3 linked regions of the Drosophila melanogaster genome follow. The protein of the gene in region 3 purifies or fractionates together with the protein of the main gene of each other region. This does not show direct contact. Each region holds a gene or a part of one and is shown on either strand. Other genes may lie near its edges. The genes, in order: Rdh1, CG12321 and Rpt5.

Region 1 (3,828 bases), on a different chromosome or scaffold from region 3:
CAAGGTGCTTTTGCGGCTACAGTTTACCCCAGCAGAGGAGCTGTCCGGATTAGCAGACGTCGTTCTGGGCTTCTATATGCAGTACACATACGTCAACACCGTAAACAATGCGCAAGAGAAGAGGGAACCCACAACCCATGTGCTCCACTCCAGGGTGTTTATCACGGCGGGAGCAACTGAGCAGAAAGCCAACTAAACTGGAAACTTATTAGCCAACAGGCGTACTAATCGACTTATGCGAAATATGAAATATGCTTTATGAAAGCTAGAGAAATATGTATTTATTTATTAATCCGTTCGTGAAACAGCAGCTAGTATTCAAGTATAATAAAAGGCTTGTTCTAACACTATTCGTTCTTCTTTAGTTATTAGCTTCCAGCTTATCTAATCCGGTCCACTTCTCGCTCTCGGCCCACAGGAACTTGGCAACCTTATCGTCCAAGGCACCAGAAGCCACAGGCTTTGGTTTGCAGTCACTGAAGTACAGGCCAGAGATGTTCTTAAGCTCCGGATCCAAAGCAGCGTAAATCGAGGTCTGAGCTCCACTCTTCGGTGTCTTTAAAAGCGGCCAAATCATTGGCTTTAAAAAGAACCTAGGAAGGTTAACAGGTATTACTGGGAAGGTCCTAATTCACTTATTCATCACTTACTTCACAAGGTTTGTCTGGAAGAAGGCCCAGTTCCGCGCCAGCTCAGTGTCCACCACACCAGGGTGAAGGGCATTTACTGTGACTCCGCTGCCCTCCAAACGCTTGGCCAATTCCCGGGTGAACAGGACGTTGGCCAACTTGCTCTGGCTGTAGGCTAGGCCCTCATCATACGACTTCTCGCTGTTGAGGTCGGCTACGTTAATGGAGCCACGCGCATGTGCCAGACTGGACACAACGACAATGCGACTGGGAGCCGAGTTCTGAAATTTTGTAAGACCATTATCTGACGCACTTGACTATTATATAGCACACTTGCCTTCAGTACGTCGAGCAGCAAGTTAGTCAACAAAAAGTGACCAATATGATTTACTCCCAGCTGCAGTTCGTAGCCATCCTTGGTTAGGGTCTTGGGACAACGCATCACGCCGGCATTGTTGATCAGGACGTGAAGCTTGGGTTGCTCCTTCTTGAAGCTGATTGATAGGATAGGTTTTTAAATCTTACAGAGACAAGAAAATTCTCTGGAGGTAAGCTTACCCATCAACAAATTTGCGAATGGAGTCTAGGGAACTTAGGTCCAGCTCTCGAGAGAATATATTCTGGTTATTTGTCTCCTTGATGATATCCTTGCGGGCCTTTTCACATCGGTTCATATCCCTGCAAGCCAAGTACACAGTTCCCCCACGTCTGGCTATCTCCAGAGCCGTCTCCTTGCCAATGCCCGTGTTGGCACCGGTCACAATGAATACCTTTCCGGTCTCATCGGTGTCCTTCGTAAACTTTCCACCTTGCATGTACTCCCTGGAATTATCAATAGGAATTACCTGAAAAGCTGTTATCTATTACCCGGGGGAATCATAGTAGCGAGTCATGGATGCGTAGTCACACTGGTATATTTCATAATTACACGAAATAATTACCGCAACTCACTTCAAGAAGTAGATGCCCACGCCGATAGTAGCTGGCCACATAATCAAGGGGCTCAATAAGCAATCGATGAAAATGCACATTTTGAATATCTTTGTACAATTCCTTGTATTTAGGGTGTTGTCAGATCTTATTTCAATCGTTGAGTGCGTTCTGGTACGAACAGCACAGCTGTTAATATATTACTGAGCACAGCTACCCCACACAAACATATATTATCGCTAATTCGGAGTGAGAACCTGACGAAATGGAGAACGTCGGGAGAGAGATTCTTAACGAAGGTCAAGAGAAAACGAATTCTCAATAATATGTTATGATAGTGGAAAGCATTCAAACAAATAAAAGCAATTCCATTGATGTTTATATTTACTCAATGGGTATATTACGCGTGGAGTAAAAGGGTATAATAGGTTCGCTGAACAGTATGTAACATATAGAATAAAGTTTATATTTAGACTTGATCAGCAACACTAGTCAAAACGATCCATCCAGCCATATCCGTCCGTTTGAACGTCGAGATATAGGGAACTAACTGATTCGTTATGTTACATACATACTTTCCAACTAATTTAGTATACCCTCCTACTCCAGGAATAACGGGTACAAAAATAAAGCATGAATCATCCAAATTGATTCCATCACTTTTACAAAAAAAACAAAAGAATTTGACCATTTTTCTTTAGTACTGAACACAGAAATGCAACAATGTTGATCTCAAAATACAAATTTTAGATTAGGTAAAGCTTTTTTGGGAGCATTTCTTTATTTTCAGCTTGTAGAATCCGTAAGAATTCTACAATTCAAACATAAATTATTACATTTTGCGTTAGTCTTCATTATGATAAGCTATTAAAATAATAAATTATGAAATGGCGAGGGATAAACTAATGGTTGCTTAATCAACTTTGGTTGAATTCACGCCGGTCCACTTCTCGCTCTCCGCCCAGAGGAACTTTCCAGTCTTGTCGTCCTGGGCAGCTGCGGACACTTCCTTTGGCTGGCAGTCGCTAAAGTAGAGCCCGGAAACATCCTTTAGTGCAGGATCCAGGGCTGCGTAGAGAGTGGTCTGCGCTCCATTGCGAGGGGTTTTGAAGAGTACCCACAGGAGGGGCTTGAGCAGTAGCCTAAGCGATACGAGTGTTAATATCAAACTCAAGTAGTGCCCACTTATGTCTTCTATCTTACTGTGCAAAGGGGTGTTTCAGGAACTTCCAATTCCTCGACAGCTCCGTGTCCACGGCACCGGGATGTAGGGAGTTGGTTGTGACCCCCGTTCCCTCCAGGCGCTTGGCCAATTCCCGGGTGAACAGGACGTTGGCCAGCTTGCTCTGACTATAGGCACCGATTCTGCTGTACGACTTTTCACTGTTTAGGTCGGCAGTTTTAATGAAACCTTGGGTGTGCACCAGGCTGGAAACGTTCACGATGCGACTGGGTGCAGTTTTCTAGTGAGATTAAGCAGGGAGTTTGGTTAACAAGGTGCTAAGAAAGTCCTGAGTACCCAAAATACCTTCAATACGTCCAGCAGCAAGTGGGTGAGCAGGAAGTGTCCCATATGGTTGACTCCCAACTGCATTTCGAAGCCATCCTTGGTCAGTGTTCTGGGACAGTGCATAACTCCTGCATTGTTTATCAGGACATGAAGCTTATCCTGCTCTTTCTTGAATCTAATAAACGAGGGAAATCAGTAACGCATTCGTCGATCTATCATGTTTGCGTTTACCCAGCAGCGAATTTGCGAATGGATTCCAGCGAACTCAAGTCCAGTTCTCGAGAGAATATGTTCTGGTTATTTGTCTCCCTGATAATATCCTGGCGCGCCTTCTCGCACCGGTTCATATCCCGGCATGCCATGTACACAGTGCCTCCTCGCTTGGCAATCTCCAGGACCGTCTCCTTGCCAATGCCCGTGTTGGCACCGGTGACAATGAACACCTTGCCGGTCTCATCGGTCTGCTTGGTGAACTGACCGCCCTGCATGTATTTTCTGAAATTCATTAATTCTTATCACTCTATTTCAACACAGGCCGCAATTCACGAGCGTATTAATCATTACTCAGCAGTAGAACTATTCCATGCAAATACCTTAGCAAGTAGGCAGCCAGTCCGATAATGGACGGCCAAAAATGAGGGGGCAGCACAAGCAATTAGTAAGGCAGCCCATTTTGTTTGGATACAGTATAGATCTTGCCGCCGTTTGTGTTCGTTTCACTTGCTGGTTCTGTCAATGAATGTTTGCCCGTCCGTTTGG
Region 2 (3,403 bases), 5.6 Mb from region 3:
TAACACGTCCATCGCGACAAATGCATTTAAGAGAGCGCTCCTTCACGTGAATGACCAGCGAGGTGCGTCCAATGGCATCGTAACCATGCGTTACAATGTTAATCTTCACACACGACATGGTTGGACTGTTCATGGCATTCCAATGCGACACTATCTGCGGGTCCTTCACATCCCTGGCCAGCGTATCGAGCACATATTGTGTTCGCTTTCGCATGAAAATGTGCTGCGCCTGGGCGATGATCTGTTCGAGTATGGTCTGTGACTTGGTCATGTCCAACAACGTTTCCCGATCGGCGGCCATCGGACCGGCTAGCATGCGCTTCTTAGTGGGTCCCAGTGGTGCACTGGCCGGATGGGGAAAGGGATGGTGTGAGTTCTTGTAGTGCACCTCGCGCAGAAGCTGATGCAGCGAGTGTTCCAGAACATGATCATGATCGTTAATTGGCGCCGGCTGGCTGGAATCGAAGGTGGTTGAGTGGCACAACGAGATAATAAGTTGAATGTTAGGCAGCAGAGTGGCGCGAATTTGGTTGCCGATGACCACATGTGGAATTGGTGCCTGCAATTGGATAGCTTCACGTGCCAACTGAGCGAATAGCTCCTTGCAGAAGAGCACATTCTGGGCGAACTCCAGTGTCTTCTGCCAGACACCCACCTGGGCAGTTATATTGGGTCCGTGACCCATCAGATTCAGCTGAGCGGTGCACAAATCCTCCTGATCCTTCTGTGTGATCACCTTTATGTAGGCGACACCCTGCAGTTCCGCTGGAACAATCACTCGCAATGCGGAGCTGGCCTTAAGTTGCATGCCATTGTTGCCGGATACGCTACTGCTACTGTTGGATGAGCTGGCTGTGTCCTCATCACCGGTCTCTTCTGCTTTGGTCACCTCGAAGGTACCGCTCATGCCAAACTTGGAGCCCGCGGTGCGGTAGCTGAGATCCCCGATAATCGCATTGGACACCTTCTTCAGGCGCCAGTTCTGTCGCAGGCGCAGTAGTTCTATGTGGAAATCTGAGACATTGCGATTGCGCTGCTCGCTGTGCGCGTTCCGCAGGCGTTCAGCGCCACTTAGGAGCACTTGGGCTGCCTGAGAGATGGCTTTCTTGCGGCTGTACACCTGCACAATGGGCTTGGTGTCGTCAGCCTCCTCGAGCAGTGGATCGAGCACTAAATAGCGCTTGTCCTTGGCAATGGAGATCACATCGGACAGCACACATATCTCCGTGAGCGCATCCTTCAGCTTGTTGCGCACCGCATCCCAGGGCCACAGGCTCTCTTGGAACTGAGTGGCGTCCTTGTCCTCGTCGGCGGCCGCTGCCGCCGACTTCTCCTCCTTCTTGAGGTCGTCCAGCGACGTCTTGCTGAAGTCTATGCGCGCCGCACATTTCGCCAGACTTTCCGACAAAGTCGGCGGCCTAAGGAGAAAAAAACAAAGAACCCAATAAATCATTGAGAAGAGGGCTTGCTGGCTAGCGGAAACACATACGGCTGATACAATTCGGTGCCATCGTAGCCAATCTCACGTATCTGGTTCTCGCAAGTCGTTTCCACTGATATATTCACGGAATTCGACATATTTGCGCCGGGAAACAAAACATTTGGTTTGTCAAAGCAAAACTAAAGAATAGTGCTGCAAAACGTCTGCGGCCGGCTATCGATAAATGAGTGCTCAAAAACAACACTTTTTTCCAGGTTAGTAACGAATGTAATGTATAAAATATTGATATTTAAAAATGTTTAATATTTAATTAATATGTGTTATAAAATTACTTTCTTGCTTTAAATTAAGTTTTATTTATTTAAGACAAAACTTTGAAATTTAATGGCTTGGCCACGTGCTTATATTCATTTATATGCGAAGTATAAGTAGGCAGCAGTCAAAAAAATGTCCTTAAATGTAAATAAAATTTGTTTACCTTAAACAACGAAGTTATCTCTTTTGATTTTTGAACCGCACTTTTATTAAGCTCCTTGCCAGAGTTGCCACCCAGTGTCAATTGGTAAACACACCAACACTGGAATCATTACTTTCATATTTTTGACTTGACTTGAATTAGCATCTTCAACTCATTCCGGACACCAAGAGATTTAACCCAATTATGCTGTTTCTAAAGGACAAGCGTACCACTCTGGACGTAGCAGAGCACACAGTAATCATACCGAGCATTTGCGTGGGAAACGCGGCGCAGCTGGCCTGTGACCTGTTGATTGCGTCCAAGGAACTCCGGCGAATTGGATCCATCACACATCCAGCCCTGATTCCGGTCTACGGACCCTCCGCCTATCAGCACGAGCCCAAAGAGAAGGTCTCCTCCTGCGAACTGTACGAGGGTACGGAGGATAAGCTACTGGTCGTGCAATTCCGGGCGCCATGGGTTGCCCGCCACACCGCGCATTTTCAGAAGGAACTAGTGGAGCTCCTCAAGGGCGCCAGACGCGTAGTCATTCTAAGCGGCAGTTTCGGCTTCGAGAAACGAGTCATTGAGGAGTCGCCATGGGCATACCGCGCCAGCGAAAACTTCAAGGAAGCGCATGCTGCCCAGCTGGGCAATGAGGAGCTGATCAAGTGGAAGGAGCACAAGGGCGATGCCATCTATGGCGGCGGCAATGCCTTGCAGTTGTTTAAAGCCTTCGATGAGCAGAAGGTGCCCGTCATGCTGTTATTCCGCTATCTCCTCGAGGGCGACAACTCCACCGATGCATCTCTAATCGTCCGGGAACTGAACGAACTCTGCGAAGACTTCCTTCAGCTGCGCAACGGAGGCGATGGCAGTTTTAAGCTCACCGTGCCCAAGTCCTGGAACCTACTATTCGGCAATGATGTTACGGAACTTCTTTTTTAAGCGTCTACATGTATTTTTCGGTGCTTTCAAATAAATGTTAATCTTTTGGTGTAGGATAAAAGATATTGCTAGCTGTGTGCTCCCGAAAGAACTCTCTGCCATGCTCCTGGTGGTCCTGACGCGTGGTCAGCGTCTGACCGAAGGTGGGCTCTCCTGCGTGCACACATGCTCCCAGCCAGGCGCTTAAAGTTGGCTCATCCGACTCGTAGATGGCGAACTTTGATTGAAACGGTCGCATTTCCATGAGCTCCTTGATTAGTCGCTCCTTGAGACCCTTGAATTGGGCACAACCGCCGGTTAGGTACACGTGCTCAACCAGGCGCTGCTGCTCAGCGGCGGGAAATAGCTTCAGCACGAATGCTATTAGTTCTGCTAGCCCCGCCTCTGAGCAACCAATCATGCTGGGCTGGAATAGAACCTCCGGCACGCGAATGTTCTCAACCCCAAAGTGCAGCTGGTAGTTCTCGGCGGCACTCTGTGGCGGAACATTGGAGTTGCCATCGGTGTTGGCATCATAGTGATTTAGGATCTTATCGAACTGCATCAACTTTTCGTTA
Region 3 (3,828 bases):
CAGAATGTAAATGTTGTACTGATAAACCAATGAATCGCTCGACATTTGATATATATTTTTGTTTATTTTAAAAAGGTTGGGTATTGATTTCAGTACGTCTCCCATTCTAGTTACTTTTAAGAGCCGTTGCGATGTTATTTTAAAGGCGATCTTCAAGGGGCAACTCAGATCGAAACTGAAAAATTTTACATTTCCATGGTTTATTTTAATGGGAGCTGACAATGTGAAGTTAAACTGCAAATTTTTAGTCTAAGCGTAGTAGTTAAGATTAGCCTTCTTCTTCGCCTGCACTTCCATGATGGCGTCCATGAAGTCTTCGTGCGTAACCGAATTGGCGGAGCGACGCAGTGCGATCATACCAGCTTCCACACAGACGGCTTTGCACTGGGCGCCGTTGAAGTCATCCGTGGATCGGGACAATTCCTCGAAATTCACATCATTGCTAACGTTCATTTTACGCGAGTGAATCTGCATAATACGGGCACGGGCTTCCTCGTTGGGATGTGGGAACTCGATCTTACGATCCAGACGACCAGAGCGCAGCAGAGCAGGATCCAGAATGTCTACGCGATTGGTGGCCGCAATCACCTTAATATCTGCAGTGGAACTGAAGCCATCGAGCTGATTAAGAAGCTCCAACATAGTTCGCTGGACCTCACGGTCACCGGCCTTCTCCGAATCGAAACGCTTGGTGCCAATGGCGTCCAACTCGTCAATGAAGATAATGGCAGGCGCCTTCTCCTTGGCCAAGGCGAAGGCATCGCGCACCAGCTTGGCACCATCACCGATGAACATTTGCACCAACTGGGGACCTGCCAGCTTGAGGAAGGTGGACTTTGTCTGAGCGGCGCAGGCACGGGCCAGCAATGTTTTGCCAGTTCCAGGGGGGCCGTACAAAAGGACACCTGTAAATGGCAAGGATTAATATGGTTGTGTGACATTTGTTCGAGTGAGATACCCACCTTTGGGTGGGTGAATGCCAAGGTTTTTGAACTTCTCCTTGTGCGTCATGGGCAGCACCACTGCCTCGATGAGCTCCTGTATCTGCTTGTCCAAACCTCCAATGTCGGAGTACTGCTCTGTAGGTCGCTCGTCCACTTCCATGGCTTTTACGCGGGCATCATACTCTGCCGGCAGGGTTTCCAGGATCAAATAGGAGTCTTTGTTGACTCCGACCAGATCACCTGGCTTCAGTTTCTCGGCATCAACCAGGCCGATGACGGGCAGGAAATACGCCTGTCGAGTGGATGTTTTGATGACGGCGCACTTGCCCTTTCGCTGGTTGTCCAGAACGGTGACGGAGCCGTCGTCCTCCTCCTCCTGTGGATCCACATCCAGCAGCTCTATTACATTGGACACCAGGTAGGGCAGTGTCTTGTTGACCTAATGGGGAAGTACTTAACAAATGAGGCTATTTGGCAGGGTGGCGTTTCATTGTCATCCCTACCTTGATCTTTTCGGTGTTGTCCTTGATCTTCTCATTTTGCGCCTGAATCTCGTGCGTTATGCGTATCACTTCGCTCTTCATGATCTTGATCTCGTTGTCCATCAGGCGAGTCCTGCTCACAATTTCATCGGTGGACATACGCATCACCTCCTCGCCCAGGGACTCCTCCCCGTCCTCCCAGATTGACTTATCCTCCAGAGTCTGAGCCATGTCTAATACGATTGTTGATTAGCCGTTGCTGAATGTAATTCTTTGTTAAAATGCTATTATTGCCGATCTTTTTGGGCAAACACTCTGTCGATGACTTGTAAATTTCTTGTTTTTCAGCGGCAAGTAAGCAACACTGAAAAAGTCAGTGTTGACAACAGAGCGCCATCGCCGGCGCTTATCGATAGTGACAGCGATAACACAGCGATAACAATACGGCAGGCTTTACACAGAACGCTCTATTCTGTAAAAGATTTGGCAATTTATATTTTAAAATTGCAAGTAGACTAGTTTGCAATGTCTGAAAATAATGGTAAGCGTAGCAAAACAAGCTGTAATGCTTGCTATAACTTAAAGTTGCCAAATATCGCGAATCTTGTGCCCTTGAAGAGTTCGCAACAAACTGACAAACGAGTCTTGTTTTTTCCCCCTTGTTTCCAGAAGCGTCAGTCGAAACTAACTGTTTCCGAGGTGGCTTCACCTTGAAGGCTTCTCGCCTGGGCGGTGCTGTCCTGCGCCCAGCAGTCTTGGCAAACAGCAGCGGCTCCAACAATAGTTCCACATCCCCAAGTGCAGGTGAAGACAGCGCCCTGCTGAATAATCCGTTTCTGCGCGAGTCCAAGGACGACGACGATGACGAGGAGGTGGTGGCCACCGGATCTGCGGCAGCCGAGTCCACTGGCGACAAGGAGGACGACGATGTCGACGAGCGGCCGGATCCGCTGACCAAGCTGCGTAGCAATGGCATTGAGCGCTCCAGCATGTTTGCAGCAGCCAAGAACAACATGCCAAATGTTCAGTCCAGCGGGTTCGTCTTCGGCCAGAATGTGCATGAACGTGTGGTGGCCCCCAATGCTGAACAGGTCACCGCTGAGCCGGATGCAGATACGGCAGCCAGCTCGGTATCAGCCCAGGAGGCTGCCTCCTCCTCCACCGCTGCTACGTCGTCCTCGGCGCCATTGCTCTTCTCAAGCGTCATTCAGAACGCTGCCCAGACCACAGAGACCAGCGAGGCCGCTGCCTCCTCATCCATTTGCAGCAGCAGCAGCAACAACAAGGAGTCCGCCGAGGCCAAGAGCCTGACGGATGTGGCCCGGGAGTATGAGGAGAGCCGCGCTCAGAAACGCAAATACGAGGAGGTCGAGACCTTCACCGGCGAGGAGGACGAGATCAACATTATCGACGTGAGCTGCAAGCTATTCGCCTTTCTTAACAGCAACTGGGAGGAGCGTGGTCGCGGCAGTCTGCGCTTAAACGACGCCAAGGACTTAAGGGGCGACTCGCGCGTGGTGTTCCGCACTTCTGGCAATCTGCGCCTGCTTCTCAACACCAAAGTCTGGGCCGCCATGGTGGCGGAGCGAGCCAGCCAAAAGTCCCTACGACTAACGGCCATCGACAACTCTGGCGTTGTCAAGATCTTCCTGGCCATGGGCCGACCGGCGGACATTGCCCAGCTACACAAGGCGCTCAGCGAACGGATTGCCAAGCGCAAGGTCTCACATCCCGAGGAGTGTTCCGTAGAGGAAGCGAAAAACGGCGTCGCCTCTGAGGCAGCGGCTAGCTTGCAACCGGAGTCGACGACTCACGACGACGAGGATGAGGATGCTGCTCCCGGACCGTCTGGTGCCATTTCAGCAGAGGCAGACAGCTACGGCCCGAGTCCCAAGAAGGTGATCGTCCAGCCCGATAGCAGCGCCGATGTCCCTGTGCCGCCCGTTGAGGAGGGCGACGAGGATGCTGAGGCCGAGGCCAAGGAGTCAACCGATCAGAATTAACCGCCGCTCGCTCTTGTTCTTTTTATACGATTCATACATGGAGAAATAAAACACTCACAACAAACACTAATTAATAAAGCGCGCCGTGAATTATTATAAATTAATTATAATAATTTATTAATAATTATTATTATTAAAAATAAAATAAATGAAGTGCTGATTTGTAAACCCGTGAGCAGCGTCGACAAAAGACATTTATCCATTACGCTTTGTGTTTATAATTTTTTGTTAAAAATGAAAACCGAAATTAAGATATCGATATCGATCGTACACGCTCTAATTAAAAGTTTTAATTTAATCACTATACAAACCCTATGTACTACTTTTCGCTTAGGAAATAATTTTTACAAGTTCAGCGCTTGCACTAGTCCTGGTCATAGCTCCACTGACTGGCATCTG

What was found.
Region 1: the proteins of Rpt5 (region 3) and Rdh1 purify together in Drosophila melanogaster (affinity purification with mass spectrometry, with the first as the bait; one large-scale study listed by BioGRID). This does not show direct contact.
Region 2: the proteins of Rpt5 (region 3) and CG12321 purify together in Drosophila melanogaster (affinity purification with mass spectrometry, with the first as the bait; one large-scale study listed by BioGRID). This does not show direct contact.

Annotation. Positions count from the first base shown.
Region 1 is NT_033778.4:7,663,769-7,667,596, reverse strand, and holds Rdh1 (retinol dehydrogenase 1), read right to left. Parts: upstream 1,770-3,828; 5' UTR 1,661-1,769; coding exon 1,581-1,660; intron 1,452-1,580; coding exon 1,188-1,451; intron 1,124-1,187; coding exon 967-1,123; intron 911-966; coding exon 651-910; intron 594-650; coding exon 362-593; 3' UTR 254-361; downstream 1-253. Other genes in the region: DCTN4-p62 (dynactin 4, p62 subunit), read left to right, coding at 1-196; CG2065 (uncharacterized protein), read right to left, coding at 2,473-2,701, 2,763-3,022, 3,088-3,244, 3,301-3,557.
Region 2 is NT_033777.3:18,187,305-18,190,707, reverse strand, and holds CG12321 (uncharacterized protein), read left to right. Parts: upstream 1-2,000; 5' UTR 2,001-2,102; coding exon 2,103-2,846; 3' UTR 2,847-2,883; downstream 2,884-3,403. Other genes in the region: MED17 (mediator complex subunit 17), read right to left, coding at 1-1,418, 1,490-1,578; Arp5 (Actin-related protein 5), read right to left, coding at 2,884-3,403.
Region 3 is NT_033777.3:23,750,843-23,754,670, reverse strand, and holds Rpt5 (regulatory particle triple-A ATPase 5), read right to left. Parts: upstream 1,796-3,828; 5' UTR 1,658-1,795; coding exon 1,448-1,657; intron 1,384-1,447; coding exon 963-1,383; intron 906-962; coding exon 250-905; 3' UTR 48-249; downstream 1-47. Other genes in the region: RanBP3 (Ran binding protein 3), read left to right, coding at 1,952-1,967, 2,096-3,429.